Linked DNA regions of Callithrix jacchus. The protein of the gene in region 2 interacts with the protein of the main gene of each other region in a pairwise test. Links are inferred from orthologs where the notes say so. Each region holds a gene or a part of one and is shown on either strand. Other genes may lie near its edges. The genes, in order: BCL2, BNIP2, KLC1 and FRK.

Region 1 (4,321 bases), on a different chromosome or scaffold from region 2:
TATTGTCCCTATATATTTGAACTTGAGCCCTATTAAGTAAGCCGCTGTGCTTCTGGTAAACCTTTTATTTTTTTTCTCGGTGTCTTATTTGTCAAAGACTCTTGGAGCTAAAAATAAACACGTGCAACTTGTTTGTCCTCTTGTCCTTTTCTGCTAGGGGCTATTCATTCCGATGAATTTAAAACTGATTGCACTTACACACGTCTGCGAGTGTGGATGTGTATATATCTGCGTACATCATTTGAGAAAGTGCGGCCATCTAGGATTGGCTACAAGGCAAAGGTGGAGAAAGGTGGAGACCTTTAGGAGCCCACCCACCCCAGCGTTAGGACGGTGGGCCCGAAAGTTACTATGCAGAACTCTTCAGCGTGCAGCCCTGACCCAGTGCAGAACGTGTTAGGGACAGAGGAACAACACGGACTTAAATTATTTTAAAGCCCTTGATAACCCCTCGCTGGCTCCTTCCGTGGAGCGCTGAGTTCTGCCTGGCCTTGGCCACGTACTGGATATTCACGGGGACACCGGCGAGAATGCGCGCGCGTGTGTAGTGCGCCGACACCTAGTAATCCACTTGAAAGTAAACACTACGCTGGGGGCGTCCCTGGATATTGCTTAAAACGTTTCAGAGTCGCCTGTTTTCACCGCAGGGCAGAGCTAAGGTCCCCCTGCTTGGGGGTGGGGGGTGGGGGTGGCATTGGCCTGGGTCTTCCCCCGGGGGCAGAGCGCGGGTAACATGGCGTGTGTGTGTGTGTGTGTGTGTGTAGGCGCGTGTACACACACACGGCTAGAAAGGGTCCAGGCGACACACACACACACATACACTCACTCTCTCACTCTCTCTCTCTCTCTCTCTCTCTCTCTCTCAGTCGGCTAGAAAGGGTCCAGGCGGTTCCCGGCGCTTTTCCAGCCCTTGTTTTCATGGCGCACCCTCCCGCCAGCCGCCCCCCTCCGCTCTCCGTCGCCGGCCGGGCCGCGTGCGGTTCCCCGGCAGCCCCCACCCCCTCGCGGACCCCGAGGTCCGCGCCCGGCCCTCCACAGGCCTGAGCAGAAGGCCCGCTCACACCCACCGCGCCGCGGCCGCGCGGGAGGCCTGCGCCGCCCGCGCAACCCGCGCCACCCACCGGCCGGGCCGGGCGAACGCAGCGGAACGGGCGGGTGGCCGGCCCGGGTGCGCCCTCCCCGGTCGCGGCCCCGCGCGCCATGTGCCCCCGGTGGGGTGCGCCGCTCCCGGGCCCGCCGCGGCGCCTTTAACCCGGGCCAGCGAGCGGGGCGGAGGGGGCGGTCGGGCGGCTCAGAGGAGGGCTCTTTCTTTCTTCTTTTTTTGAATGAACCGTGTGACGTTACGCACAGGAAACCGGTCGGGCTATGCGGAGAATGAAGTAAGAGGACAGACACCCCCGCCCCGCGCCCGCCCCCTTCCTCCCGCGCCCGCCCCTCTGCGCCGCCAGCCCGCCCGCCGCGCCGCCCGCTCGCCGCTCGCCTTGGCCCCGCCGCGCCGCCGCCGCCGCCGCTGCCAGCGAAGGTGCCGGGGCGCCGGGCCCTCCCCGCCGGCGGCCGTCTGCGCTCGGAGCGGGCTGCGCGGCGGGAGCTCCGGGAGGCGGCCGCAGCCAGCGCCGTCGCGCAGGAGCAGGAGGAGGAGAAAGGGTGCGCAGCCCGGAGGCGGGGTGCGCCGGTGGGGTGCAGCGGAAGAAGGGGGTCCAGGGGGGAGAACTTCGTAGCAGTCGTCCTTTTTAGGAAAAGAGGGAAAAAATAAAGCCCTCCCCCACCACCTCCTTCTCCCCACCCCTCGCCGCACCACACACAGCGCGGGCTTCTAGCGCTCGGCACCGGCGGGCCAGGCGCGTCCTGCCTTCATTTATCCAGCAGCTTTTCGGAAAATGCATTCGCTGTTCGGAGTTTAATCAGAAGAGGATTGCTGCCCCCGTCCCCGGCTCCTCCGTCGTCCCCCCTCCCCTGTCTCTCTGCCGGGGAGGCGTGAAGCGGTCCGGTGGATAGAGATTCATGCCTGTGCCCGCGCGTGTATGCGCGCGTGTAAATTGCCGAGAAGGGGAAAACATCACAGGACTTCTGCGAATACCGGACTGAAAATTGTAATTCATCTGCCGCCGCCGCTGCCTTTTTTTCTCGAGCTCTTGAGATCTCCAGTTGGGATTCCTGCGGATTGACATTTCTGTGAAGCAGAAGTCTGGGAATCGATCTGGAAATCCTCCTAATTTTTACTCCCCCTCCCCCCGACTTCTGATTCATTGGGAAGTTTCAAAGCAGCTATAACCGGAGAGTGCTGAAGATTGATGGGATTGTTGCCTTATGCATTTGTTTTGGTTTTACAAAAAAGGAAACTTGACAGAGGATCATGCTGTTCTTAAAAAATACAAGTAAGTTCTCTGCACAGGAAATTGGCTTAATGTAACTTTCAATGAAAACATTTGAGAATTTTTACTTAAAGTGCATTCGAGTAAATTTAATTTCCAGGCAGTTTAATACATTCTTTTTAGCCGTGTTACTTGTAGTGCGTATGCCCTGCTTTCAGCCAGGGCATACAGGAAAATGCACCTGATTTTTTTAACTTATGAGTTTGTTTCTTCTTTAACCTTTCAGCATCACGGAGGAAGTAGACTGATATTAACAATGCTTACTACTAACGTGCCTCATGAAATAAAGATCCGAAAGGAATTGGAATAAAAATTTCCTGCGTCTCATGCCAAGGGGGAAACACCAGAATCAAGTGTTCCGCGTGACTGAAGACACCCCCTCTTCCAAGAATGCAAAGCACATCCAATAAAATAGCTGGATTATAACTCTTCTTCTTTCTTTGGGGGCCGTGGGGTGGGAGCTGGAGCGAGAGGTGCCGTTGGCCCCCGCTGCTTTTCCTCGGGGAAGGATGGCGCACGCTGGGAGAACAGGGTACGATAACCGGGAGATAGTGATGAAGTACATCCACTATAAGCTGTCGCAGAGGGGCTACGAGTGGGATGCCGGAGATGTGGGCGCCGCGCCCCCAGGGGCCGCCCCCGCGGAGGGCATCTTCTCTTCCCAGCCCGGGCACACGCCCGGTCCCGCCGCGCCCCGGGACCCGGTCGCCAGGACCTCGCCGCCGCCGCCCCCAGCCGCCCCCGCCGCCGCCGCCACGGGGCCTACGCTCAGCCCGGTGCCACCTGTGGTCCACCTGACCCTCCGCCAGGCCGGCGACGACTTCTCCCGCCGCTACCGCCGCGACTTCGCCGAGATGTCCAGCCAGCTGCACCTGACGCCCTTCACCGCGCGGGGACGCTTTGCCACGGTGGTGGAGGAGCTCTTCAGGGACGGGGTGAACTGGGGGAGGATTGTGGCCTTCTTTGAGTTCGGTGGGGTCATGTGTGTGGAGAGCGTCAACCGGGAGATGTCGCCCCTGGTGGACAACATCGCCCTGTGGATGACCGAGTACCTGAACCGGCACCTGCACACCTGGATCCAGGATAACGGAGGCTGGGTAGGTGCACGTGGTGATGGGAGTCTGGGCTGAGGCTGCAGGTCCGAGATGTGGGGGTTGGAGTGCGGCGGGTGGGCTCCTGGGGTAAGGGGAGGCTGTGGGGCTGGTGAAATAAAATCAGGGTTGTTGCTTCCCGGCGTCCATAACCTCTTCCTCTGGACAAAGTGTTCTTTCCCAACCTGAGTGATGACGCCTGCCCTCTAAAAGTCTTTAACTTGCTCGCTAGTTGAGGAGGTCCAGTAGGATGTGGTGGTCAATGGTACCCCTTCAGTGTTTCTCGAGCTGGAGGTCCAGGAGTCCCCAGGACCACAGTTTCCTGGCCTGAGCAGCTTGTTGGGACCGGAGGGAGGTTTCAGGGCCTGCTTATGAACCAGATGCCAGGTTGGGTCTTGACAGTCTGCATCCTAAACAAGCTCCCCTGAGACACGCCCCTGGTGCACTTAAATTTGGGAACACCCCAATGAGAAGAACAGACTCCACAGAAGACTAAGGGTACGCTTTTTCTAACTCGGTAAAATTTTCCAAAAGAGGAAAACCAACCTGAGTCCCTTTCCCTGGAAAACTTAGTTGTGTTTGTAAAGAGCTAAATTGACATTCCAAAGTCCTTGCACTGGAATCTCCAGTGTGTGCCATATTTCCAGTGGGCGTGACGCAGTGTCTTGAGGGGTATTGGTCTATGGCTTTGCTACCTCGTCAGTGACAGAATTTGCATCGGCTGCATTCTTTATGTTCTATAATTTGTGTATGAGTTACTAATTCACTAGAATGTTGTTAGAATCTTTTGTTTTTCACTACCTAGAGTCGACATAATTTTGTGGTCTCCTGAAAAAGTTTGCATCTAGGTATCTATGT
Region 2 (4,156 bases):
GATTATGATGTCCTCCAAACAAATCTCGTTTGGTTGAAGCTGAGTATGGTCTGATTTGAATAGTTTACTTTGAGTACTCCGACCATGGTCTGTAGACCTGGGCTTTTCTGAGAACTGTTTGTAAATAGACTACAGAGAGATAGTAGAAAACTCTATAGCAATTTTCCGGGTAATTTTATGGATGTTAACCCTAACGATAAAAAGTTTACATTTGGACTTTGTGTGTCTTTTCATTTGTCTGTTTTATCAACTAATTGAAAATTTTTAAAAATTAATATATCATTCCCCACATTAAAGAGAAGCACTGCTGCAAAGCTGTTCACACTCGAAATTACCAAACTCCAAGGACGCTTCTGAGGCCTAGCTCCCCAAAATGAAGTCTCGGATATTTTTCCTCCCCTTATTTCTTTTCTTTTCTTTCTCTTTTTTTTTTTTTTTTTTTTTTTTTGAGATGGCGTTTTTGGTCTGTTGTCCCAGCTGGAGTGCAATGGCATGATCTCCGCTCACTGCAAACTGTGCCTCCTGGGTTCAAGTGATTCTCCTGCCTCAGCTTCCTGAGTAACTGGAATTATTGGTGTCCACCAGCACGTCCCAATAATTTTTGTATGTTTAATAGAGGTGAGGTTTCACCATGTTGTCCAGGCTGGTCTTGAACTTTTTTTTTTTTTTTTTTTTTTTAAGACGGGGTGTCACCATGTTGGTCAGGCTGGTTATGAACTCCCAACCTCAGGTGATCCACCCACCTTGGCCTCCAAAGTGAGCCACTATGCCCGGCCTGGTCTTGAACTGTTGACCTAGGGTGATCCACCCGCCTCAGCCTCCTAAAGTGCTGGGATTACAGGCGTGAGCCACCTCGCCCGGCCTCCTCCCCTTATTTCATTCATTTTATAATTCACATTGTTCACATTATTATTGAGCGTTGATAATTGCACCTATCGTAATGATACTGACACTTGCCCCTGTTGTTATAAAATTGCTATTGGTAATTGCACCTATTGCATTATAATATATTGATAGGGATAATTTCACCTACTGTAATGTTCCATAAAGAGAGGCAAAAAGAAAACAAAAATGACGGAGACTACAGGGCAGCGTCCCAGCGCACAACAAAGAAGAAACGCCTCGAGGCGCGGTAAACGCCACCAATAAGGACTCGAAGCGACGGGTCTGCCCAGAGGCGAGGAAGGCTGACGCGAGCGACAGCCCGGGCGGTCTGAGTGGGCCAGGGGGGTGCTGTGTGGGTTTCTAGGGGACGCCACGCCTCCGCCACCGCCTCCTCCGCTGCCGCGCCCGGAGGACGTCGGAGTGACGTCACTTCCGTCTGGATCTCTCACTGCTTCCGGGTCAGCTGCCGCCGTCGCCGCTGTGCCGCTGCGGCCGGGGGATTGGGCCGGGGTCTCCACCGCCGACCGAGGGGAGCGGGCTCCGCTCGGCGCCGCTTTTTGCGACCTGGCCGTCAGCCCCACGTCGCCGGCCTGGAGGGGCGAGGAGGACGAGGGGGCCAAGGCTTCCTCCGGGGTGAGTGCGGCCTGGGGGGACTCGGCACGGTGGCTCCGGAGCCGGTCTGGAACCGGCCTAGGGGCGCAGGTTTGTCGGGCGCTTACCCAAGACGCCCGGGGAGAGGAAACGCAGAAGGTTACCCGTGGTAGGGGGCGCCATAGAACCTGCTCGGGAGGTGCTTCCTGGATCCCCGCCCAGCGTAGGTCCCCGCCCTTGGCTCGGGTCCTGTTTGTATTTGGCAGTTGGGCCCCCACCCCACCCCTTTTCCGTTTCTGGTAGTTGTGCTCGGGATAGAACCTTGTGCCTCCCCCTCTCCCCCACCTTTACCCCGGTGTGGGTGAAGTGGCTGGGCCACGATGGTTCAGTATTTATGACCAGCGTCCGCCCTGGTGCAGAACAAAGAAACTTGGACTTCTGGTACGCCTTGTAACCTCGGGGAATAGACACGGGAGCAGCGTAAGAAATCCGGGCTTTATAGATCTTCCCGAGCGCGCTAAACCAAATCTAGAGTGTGTACGTCAAACGTCCAGTCCCCGCTGGGATCCCGACACCACCTTTTCTGTTTAAATACCTGGCACAATGGTTTGCATTTCTGGATGCATCTCTTGCCGCTGGAGAGTTACTTGTCTATCCTGTGAGCTCTTGGAGGGCACAGCTTTTGCCGTGTTCATCAAGATAGGCACAGTCTCCTGTTTCATCGAATGAATTATCTGATTGCATTTTAGTGTTGCTTTTTTCATTCTCACTTTCTCTTGATTAGGATCTCTGTCTCTCCTAATACCTGATTTCTTATTTTCAGTTAAATGTGTTATTTTTCTAACATTTTACTGGCATATCTGCAGATGTAGAAACAAATACTGTACTTTGTGAATGGATGTTTCCTCAGAATTGCAAGTGACGACGTTACCCAATTAAGTTACCCTTGCACACTAGTTTCTTGATCATTTTGCACATACTCGTCTTAGTTCTTGTTATTTTTCGGTTTCTCTAAACTCTATTCCTGGTCTTCATAATCTGTAGTGCAGCCTAACATAGTTGGGCTTAGACAGGAAGTATGACAGATCGATTTCTGCAAACGGAACTTGAACTGGATTATCATAAGTCAGTGCTATTATGGTCTTCAGGCATTACAATATCTTTGAAGCTAAGTGCCACCAAATCGGGCACTACGGGCTTATTCTGTATGCAGCTGCCAATGCATTGCAGACGGTGCGCTGTATTAGAGGCAGTTCTGGACTAGGTAGGTGGACCAGGATGTGGTTCCTCACATGTAAGATAAACTGAAGATAACACAAGTGTCATGCATCGCAAAGTGACTGGTTGGAACATGAGATGATGGATATCAAAGGGGTTAGTAAATGTGAAAAGCACTCTGGAAAAATTCTGTTCGATCTGGAGTAATGCTGGTAGAAGGAACAATAGGGAGAAGGGTGTCGGAGAAAGCATGTGTAACCAGATCCAGGAAGTCAAAGTTGGCTGGTAGGATCAAAGATGTCTTGTTACTTTGGGCGGCCAAGACAGCGGATCACCGGAGGTCGGGAGTTCGAGACCAGCCTGGCCAACATGGTGAAACCCCATCTCTACCAAAAATACAAAAATTAGCCGGGCCTGGTGGTACATCCCTGTAATCCCAGCCACTGGAGAGACTGGCACAGCAATCACTTGAACCTGGGAGGCAGAAGTTGCAGTGAGCTGACATTGCAGCACTGCACTCCAGACTGGTTCAGCGTGGGCTACAAAGTGAGACTGTGTGTGTCCCCGAGCCGCCACTCTGGTGGAAAAAAGAAATGCCACGTTGTGTTCACATGCTATGAAGCAAAATACTAGTGTAATACGATGATAGTAATATTCCACGATTATAGTTTTATGTTACAATTAATTTTTCTGACTACAGCAAACTAAGGTCTCAGCATTTTCTGTATGTTCTGCAATGATAATTCAGTAAAGGTCACTTTCGTAGGCAGCACCATCGTCTTTTGCTTTATTTTCACCATTTTGAGAGAAGTCATCGCCACTCTAGTTTTTCCTCTTACATTTTTGTTAACGTTTATTTTATTTATTTATTTATTTATTTATTTTTTGAGATGCAGTCTTGCTCTGTCACCCAGGCTGGAGTGCAGTGACTCGATCTCTGCTCCCTGTAACCTCTGTCTCCTGGGTTCAAGCGATTCTCCTGCCTCAAGATTACAGGCAGGCACCACCATGCTTGACCAATTTTTGTATTTTTAGTAGAGATGGGGTTTCTCCATGTTGGCCAGGCTGGACTCAAACGCCTGACCTCAGGTGATCGGTCCACCTCAGCCTCCCAAAGTGTTGGGATTACAGGCGTGAGCCACCGTGCCTGGCTTGTGTTAACATTTCTGATAGAGCATCTTATTTTATTGTTTAAAAACGATATACCCCTCCCCTCATGGAAGCAATGACAAGCAAGTATATAGGATTTTTCTAAGGATGTTTGGTGATCGCCTAAATGTACAGGCTGTTCGTTAAAAAGTGAACAGAAATGTTTAGAATGAAACCATTTTGTTTAAATGGGGAAGTGAAAGACTTGCCTGGGCATTTCCATCTGCCACTGTAATTGATTTCAGCATAAATAGTCGTTTCTGGCACGTATTGGAGCAGCACTGTTAAACTGCATATAGCAAAATTATTGTGT
Region 3 (4,076 bases), about 130 Mb from region 2:
TGCTCGGCGGTGTCCGGCCTAGTGGCTGAGCTTGATGACACCCAAGCTGCAGTCTGGCTGAAATCGTGACCCTGAAAGTGGTGTGGGGAGGGGGTCTCTTTGACCCTGACTCACTCCCTCTCGCTGGGCCCAACCCTAACCGCTGTGTTACGCTAGGAGCTCCCCGCGTGTAGCCCACCTTCGTCTTCATAAACGAGATCAAAATAACCAGAGCTCCGTTTCTCAGGGTTCACACAGGGCTGCTGGCGCTGGGAGAGAACATCGGAAAGGAACAGCAGTCGATGGGGTTGGGGAACTGGCCCAGGAACCCTTGCAGGTTAAATGACGCCTCCGGGCCCCGCACTTGGGACGTCTGCGCACCGGGAGGGTTTTTCTCCAGCCGCTGGCGGCAGCGCGCGGAGCCTCGCCCACGGAATCAGCAGGTCCTCCCGGCTGGCTGCTGAGTCAGGCCTGCGGAGCCGGCGGAACCGCAGGACCCGACCCAGGCGCGCTCCGCTGCCCTTCAGGCTAGGCTGGAGGTCGAGTCCCTGCGGCCAGGGCCATGCGCCGGTGGCTGCGTGGGGACAGGGGGTGGGCGTCTCCCATCCTCACAGCCTGCACCCCGGCCCTTCCCCTGAGCCCGCCCGAGGTGCACTTTGTGTCCAGCAGGAGCGCCGGGGAAAGTCTCCCTGATTCGAGGGTCCAGAAGCCCCGAGAGGGGGGAACAATGACACGGGGAGGGCGCGGGGTTAGGGGTCAGGATCTCGACCAAAGGCTGTCGGGGGGCTCCCGAAGGCCTCCTAGTGGGGTTCTCGGGGGACCGAAATGAGCGCACGAAGCTCGCGGGCCTGGGAGTGGAGCGGGGCGGGGGCCCAGCGGTGGCGGCAGCGGCAGCGGCCGGGCCTGCACCTTCCCCGGCCGCATTCCGGTCGGGAGAATAAGCCGCTCCAGCGCTCGGCCGCCACAGCTGCGGCGTCAGAGACACCCGGGCCTCGTGGCCCACCGCCCGTGCCACGCCCTGCCCCGAGCGCCCCGTCTCGCCCGCGTTTCAGCCGGGAGGCCCGCGGGGTCCTGCAGCATCACCCTCCTCCCTCTGACCGCCCACCTGACACCCAAACAGCTTCCGCGCCCCTCCGGTCCCTAGGTCGCCGAGCGCCTCCAGGGAGCTACCCAGCCTCAGTTTCCCCGGCCCCGGGCGGCGCGAGGGACGATGACGTCATGCAGGCGCGCGGCATTGTGGGGCAGGGCGAGGCGGGGCACCGCGGGAGCGAGACTGAGACGCCATTTTCGGCGGCGGGAGCGGCGCGGGCGGTCGAGCGGGACGGGCTGGGTCGGCGGGGCTGCGCTTGGCGACAGAAAGGACAGCGGCCGAGGATGCTGCGGGGCGGCTGCGCCGGCGCCCCTCGCTAGCGACCGCTGTTCCGCGCCTCAGGCGGCCGAGGCCGGCTCGGCGCGCAGTTGCTGCTCCGCGCACGCGCCCGGCGGCGCTCCTGGTGCTGACAGCGCGAGAGAGCGCGGCCCTCAGGAGCTGGACGGTGAGTCCCCGGCGTGCGCCCCGGGCCGCGGCCCCCTGCTCATCCTCTGCCCTGTCCCCGCCCGGCTTTGGGTCCCGGGTCCCGGCCCCCGTCGGTTCCCACCCCCGGTTGCGCTCCAGGTCCCCACCCCTGCTGGTCCGCGGCCCCTCGCAGGTGCAGGTTGGCTTCGCGTCCCCGGCCCCTTTCCCAGCCCCGGCTCCCGGCGCCGCGCGTCCTCCCCGTTCGCGTCCCACTGCAGGTTCCGGTACCCGGCCCCGCCCCGGCCCCGCCCCGGCCCCGCATCCCCGGCTCCGCATCCCCGGCTCGGCCCTGCTGCGGGCGGCGGTGGCCGTTCCCGGGGACAGCTGCGGACCCCGGGAGCCCGCGACGGGGGAGGTGACCGCCCCCGGGATCGAGGCGGGCGGGCGGGCGGGCGGCCGGCGGGGCTGGCTTTGTCCGATTCCTCCTCTTCCTTCCGCCCCCGCCTCTCGCGGCACCGCCCTGAGAGGACGCGCCTGTCATCCTCGCGGGCGGCTGGGGGCCCGGTCCCTGCCGAGAGCCGACTCCACCCCGCCTCTTTGGCGACCCCCTTTTTTTCAGTAACCAGATGCGAAACGTTTCAGGCGACCCTGGTCACCTAGGCTGGCGTTGCTCCGACTAAACTTGAAGCAGCCCCCGTCCTGGGATGCGCTTTCCGGGTAAAATTCGGTGCGCCCTTTTCCTTAAGAAAATTAAAATAAAGCGCTAAAAAAGTAAAATATATGCGTGATGGAGTGGATGGTTTTATAACTTAACATATGTAGGTCATTTCTAGTCATATTTGTACTAGGATTATTGCTGCCTGTTGTTTTAAGAATTTACGTATTAAGCGTTTGAAAAGGAATGCTTACAAAAAAAAATTTTTTTTTTTTTTTTTGTTATTTTTTTTGAGATGGAGCCTCACCCAGGCTGGAGTGCCAAAAGCGGGGAGATCTCGGCTCACTGCAACCTCCGCCTCCCAGGTTCAAGCGATTCTTCTGCCTCGGCCTCCGGAGTAGCTGGGACTACAGGCGGGCTTCATCACGCCTGGCTAATTTTTGTCTTTTTAGTAGAGATGGGGTTTCACCATATTGGCCAGGCTGGTCTCGAACTCCTGACCTTGTGATCCACCTGCCTTGGCCTTCCAAAGGGCTGGGATTACAGGTGTAGGCCACCATGCCCGTCCAAAAAAAAAAATTTTTTTTAAAAATGTGAGAACAAAAAAGTTGAGATAATACTATTTTAGGTGTTCTTTACACGGGCAATTGGATCTTTGATTCTTTGCGTCAAATTCTAAGGTCTTTTTTTCTGTACAGCATGACTAAGCCATTGATCAGAATCGGCTCAGAATGCATTGCACTAGTTTAGTGAAAAACACATATGGGAACTGGAACGACCTCCTTAAGTTCCCAAGTTACATTAGTGTCATGGTCTTGCTTCTTTGAGGGATTGTCAACAAGCCTGTTATGGTGAGAAATTTGACCTATTCTGTTTCCTAAATATTTGTGAGAATACCATGATACTAAATCTGAAGTGTATTTCAACTTGTGTGGAATTCCGTGTGGGAGGGTAGGCACTCTAAAGAGCCAGTGTCTCTCCAAGTCCTCAAAGAACGCAACATCATGTTGCAGTTGGGCCTGGCAGCCCTGTGCTGGCACTGAGTGCTGTGGAGGACCCAAGTGGTGACCTCTAACCTTACTGCAGCCTTGGCACACTTCACCTTGCCTAGCATTGTCTTAGAAAAGCATCCAGACGTGCACAGGAGTCAGGATAGTGTTTATCTCCAGCAAGGGGAGGGAATGACACTGGGGAGAGGCGCACAGTGTCTTAACTATTTCATAACAAAAAACTACAGTCATTTAAATTTATACATTTTTGAGACAGAGCTTTACTCTTGTAGCTCAGGCTGGAGTGCCATGGCGTGATCTCGACTCACCACAACTTCTGCCTTCCAAGTTCAAGCGATTCTCCTGCCTCAGCCTCCTGAGTAGCTAGCATTGCAAGCATGTGCCACCATGCCCGGCTAATTTTGTATATTTAGTAGAGATGGGGTATCTCTATTTTGGTCAGGCTGGTCTCAAACTCCTGACCTCAAGTGATCCACCCACCTTGGCCTCCCAAAGTGTTGGGGTTACAGGCATGAGCCACCTTGCCCAGCCTGTTTATACATTCTTAAGCATGTTTCTCAATGTTGGAAAAAAGTCAATGTGTCACTTTCTGTATAGGGCCATAAACTATCTTAAAACATACTTATCTAAAAGGAAAACTAGACTAGAAAAAAGTCAGATGAAATGTAGGATTAGTATAACTTGGAAACAGTAGGTAAGTGGAATGTTAGAAAGCAGATGGGCCGGGTGCGGTGGCTCACGCCTTTAATTCCAGCACTTTGGGGGGCCGAGGCGGGTGGATCACGAGGTCAAGAGATTGAGACCATCCTGGTCAACATGGTGAAACCTCATCTCTACTAAAAATACAAAAAATTAGTTGGGCACGGTGGTGCGTGCCTGTAATCCCAGCTACTCAGGAGGCTGAGGGAGGAGAATTGCCTGAACCCAGGAGGCGGAG
Region 4 (3,561 bases), on a different chromosome or scaffold from region 2:
AAAACATTTTTTTAAAAACAGAACATTGTAAACAGTCTTCTGATTACTTCAAAACCAAAAAACAATGGTGGGAGAATCTACATTGTTAACTCTTCGGATTGATCTTCCACATCTTGGGAAGTCAGGCACCTCGTTGTCCATCTGTGTGATCCCATACCTAACGCCATCCTCACTCAAGTCTGGAATGACTTCTCTCTACCCCTGTGCTTAGCTAAATCCTCTCAGTTCCAAGGCCCAGTTGAAGTTCCATCTCACCCACAAATCCTTCCCAAACTCTTTGGCTATAGTATATATTATATGCATCATCTATTTTTACATAATTAAATGTTTATATATTTCAAACTCATTTTATCATTGCTTTATTTGTTCATTAATTTATTTACTCATTCATTTAGTAAGTAAAATTGTTTTAAGCATTGACTAGGTACTTTTCTATACACAAAACAAGACCCCTGCCCTTCTAGAACTCATAGTCTAGTTTACCACCTGCCCTATGGTCTCTGTTGCAGCTTCTAAACTCTGCTGTCATGGCACAAAAGAATCCAAAGAAAACTCATCTATGAATGAGCATCTGTGCAAATAAAACTTATTTCTAAAAACAAGCATAGGTCAGTGTGGGCTCATGAGCCATGGTTTGCCTATACCTGCCTCAGGTAATAAAATTGTCATTTTTTTAGCCACCCCATGAAGAGAAGCAGCCCAGTGGGGTTGCTTCCTTTTTTACTCCAGATATCTGACAAATATTCAGATATCTGGAGGAAAAAAGTTAACTTCAATAAACAAACACAGCTTGAAAGCATTTTCACCTTTAAGCATGGTTTCCCCAGCTTGACACACAGGCCGTCACTTGTCTTGGTGTAGTGGCTCACAAACTCGTTCAGTGTTGAAAAGGTTCTTCTCCGGGTGAGAAAAAAGCCCCCTTCATCCAGTCTTCTGATTCTGTAGTGTTTTACAACTCCTCCATCTAAAACTGAGACCCAAAATAATTCCTATTAATAAACTTCTTGCTAAAGACAAGCAGATTTATTTACTTTGTGGTGACATTTTCAATGCATAAAATGAAATCTATATAAAATTCTATGTATTTCTCAACTTCGTCTCAGAAGACTTAAGAAAGTTTACCAACAATACAGAACAAAAGAGAGGGTGTGAGAATTGGGAAATAATACCAAAGAAAATGTAAAAATAAAGGGGTGAGGCTAGCACTAAAAGAATTCATGCTTCTAAGTCTAGTATATGTGATTAAAACAAGCCATAAAATTGACTCTATCACTCTAACAATGCAAAGAAGAAAATCTTACCATTTTGGGGATTCACAGTGTCCATAAGATAAAATCATGAAAGGTTTTTAGAAACAGTTCAATTCTTCCTGGTGCAGAAACCAGGGAGAAATTTCTCCCATGAAATCCTATAATGTGGTGACGGAAATAAACAGTATGCTCAATACCACCTTAGAATAATGCATGGAATTCCACGGGACTGTTCATTATATTGTACCTCAATGCAGGTTGGTAACCGAATGTCCTAACACAGTTCAACAGCAGCAATTCCACAGAGACTAAACTGATTCAGTCCACATATGCAATGTCGCAGCAGTATTGCTCACTCCAAGAGTAAGTCCTGTAGTATCTACAGGAATAACTAGACGGCATCATTTTTACCTAGTTTGGCCTGCAGTGGATATTTTGTTACTCTTGCCACCCACCTCCCTTTGGCCCTTCTTCTGTTAACAGCACCCCCAATTTTCCTCAGGAATTTTTGCTTCTCTAAAAGCATGTGGTCCAGAAGGACCTGGTAGCCACCTGGAGCTGAAGAAGACAGAATCAGTGCAATAAGAGCCAAGAACCCCCAATTCCAGGACTTGAGTTAGGAAGTTCCAGGAAGACAGGAAGAGTTTTGTTACTGTGGCTGTTGTTTTGGTTTTGGTTTACTGATGGGATTTTGGAGCTATTGGCAGAATCCTGGCCTCTAGGCAGGAAGCAAGCTTCCTGAGAAAAGAAGCAGCCCAGTGGGAAGCAGTCTTGATTTGGAAAGTGAAGCCTAATCCCCAGAGCCAGCCAAGCCTGGCTTTTCAGCTACAAGAATCAATTAATTACCTTTTTGGTTAAACTATTTTGAATAGGGATTTCTGCACTTACATTCAAAATATTGATTAATGCATTTTATACTTATGCTTTCACTTAACAAAGTTATTGATAAGCATTGGGCAGCATTTACCACTATAATGCTATTCTGCATTCCTTGCTAAATATATAATTTTATGCTTCAGTGATTAGTCAGGCTGGTGCAATGCTCTTATGAAAGGGAAGAAGACATCCCAATCCCCATATGGAGGTTTACTGAGGGCACACCAATAGCTAGGACAATTTTTTTTTTTTTTTCAAAAAAAGGAATTGGCATGCACCAGAAGAGTTAAAATGAAAAAAGGCAGTATTAACAAAGAAGTGGAGTGACTTCCCACACATAGTTGATGGAAGAGTAATTTTTACCACCACTTTGGAAAACTGTTTTTCCTTATCTACTAGAGTTGAACATAGTCATACATGTAATACAGTAATTCTACTCCTAAGCATAAAATCAATATATTCACCAAAATATGTGTTTAAGAATGTTTTTAGTTGCCTGATTTTAAGGGTCTAAACCTGGAAGCAATCCAAATGTTCATCAACCAATAAATAGAAGTATCCAAATATCTATCAAATAATAAACAACAGAATGAACTAAAAAATTGTCATCTAGTGGAATGCATATTTGTAAATAAACAAAAACTGCAGCTACACACAACGGTGTGAATGAATCTCGCAAACTCAAATATATAGTCTCATTATTAAAAAACACGGTTGGGTGTGGTGGCTCATGCTTTTACTCACAGCATTTTGGGAGGTTGAGATGGGAAAATTACTTGAGGCCAGGAGTTTGAGGCCAGTCTAGGCAACAGCAGCAGACCCTGTCTCAACAAAAAAAATAACAATAATAATAATAATTTTAAAAAATTAGCCAGGGTTGGTGGCACATGCCTGTAGTGACAGCTACTTGGAAGGCTGAGGCAAGAGGATCACTTCAGCCCAGAAAGTCAAGGCTGCAGTAAGTTATGATTGATTGTGCCACTGCACTCCAGTCCAGCCTGGGCAACAGGATGAGACACTGTCTTAAAAAACAAACAAACAAACAAAAATCTTAAAAACAAGCAAAACTATTGATATGAGGAGTCAGTGACTGGGTTGTTAGCCTTATTCTGCTTCTTAACTTGGTGCTGGTTACCTGAGTTTATAAACTTTGTATTCACCAAACTAAACTCTTATGAATTGTATACTTTTATTGTATGTATCACACTGCAATTTAAAAGAATACTTTTAAAAAAATGATTATTTGCTTCTGTTTATGAACAAATGGGACATCGAGTCTCGAAACTGCTACATTAAGGTCAATGCTGTATTATTTCAGTATAGAACATTATTTTTTTTTTTTGTAGGAAGGGAGGAAGGGAGGAAGGCAGGAAGGGAGGAAGGGAGGAAGGGAGGGAGGAAGGAAGGGAGGGAGGCTGGGAGGGAGGGAGGGAGA

What was found.
Region 1: the proteins of BNIP2 (region 2) and BCL2 interact in a two-hybrid assay, tested with the Homo sapiens proteins (3 studies listed by BioGRID and IntAct). The link is inferred for Callithrix jacchus from reciprocal best matches to the Homo sapiens genes BNIP2 and BCL2.
Region 3: the proteins of BNIP2 (region 2) and KLC1 interact in binary tests that used the Homo sapiens proteins (3 or more experiments, as listed by UniProt). The two-hybrid records come from large-scale screens. The link is inferred for Callithrix jacchus from reciprocal best matches to the Homo sapiens genes BNIP2 and KLC1.
Region 4: the proteins of BNIP2 (region 2) and FRK interact in binary tests that used the Homo sapiens proteins (3 or more experiments, as listed by UniProt). The two-hybrid records come from large-scale screens. The link is inferred for Callithrix jacchus from reciprocal best matches to the Homo sapiens genes BNIP2 and FRK.

What each region holds. Positions count from the first base shown.
Region 1 is NC_133514.1:106,291,976-106,296,296, reverse strand, and holds the start of BCL2 (apoptosis regulator Bcl-2), read left to right. Parts: upstream 1-1,478; 5' UTR 1,479-2,375; intron 2,376-2,598; 5' UTR 2,599-2,881; coding exon 2,882-3,469; intron 3,470-4,321. UniProt on the Homo sapiens protein: Suppresses apoptosis in a variety of cell systems including factor-dependent lymphohematopoietic and neural cells. Regulates cell death by controlling the mitochondrial membrane permeability. Appears to function in a feedback loop system with caspases.
Region 2 is NC_133509.1:6,442,705-6,446,860, reverse strand, and holds the start of BNIP2 (BCL2/adenovirus E1B 19 kDa protein-interacting protein 2), read left to right. Parts: upstream 1-1,335; 5' UTR 1,336-1,518; intron 1,519-1,757; exon of another isoform or gene 1,758-1,917; intron 1,918-4,156.
Region 3 is NC_133509.1:138,437,264-138,441,339, forward strand, and holds the start of KLC1 (kinesin light chain 1), read left to right. Parts: upstream 1-1,262; 5' UTR 1,263-1,514; intron 1,515-2,093; 5' UTR 2,094-2,178; coding exon 2,179-2,201; intron 2,202-4,076. UniProt on the Homo sapiens protein: Kinesin is a microtubule-associated force-producing protein that may play a role in organelle transport. The light chain may function in coupling of cargo to the heavy chain or in the modulation of its ATPase activity.
Region 4 is NC_133505.1:122,322,684-122,326,244, forward strand, and holds part of FRK (tyrosine-protein kinase FRK), read right to left. Parts: intron 971-3,561; coding exon 807-970; intron 1-806. UniProt on the Homo sapiens protein: Non-receptor tyrosine-protein kinase that negatively regulates cell proliferation.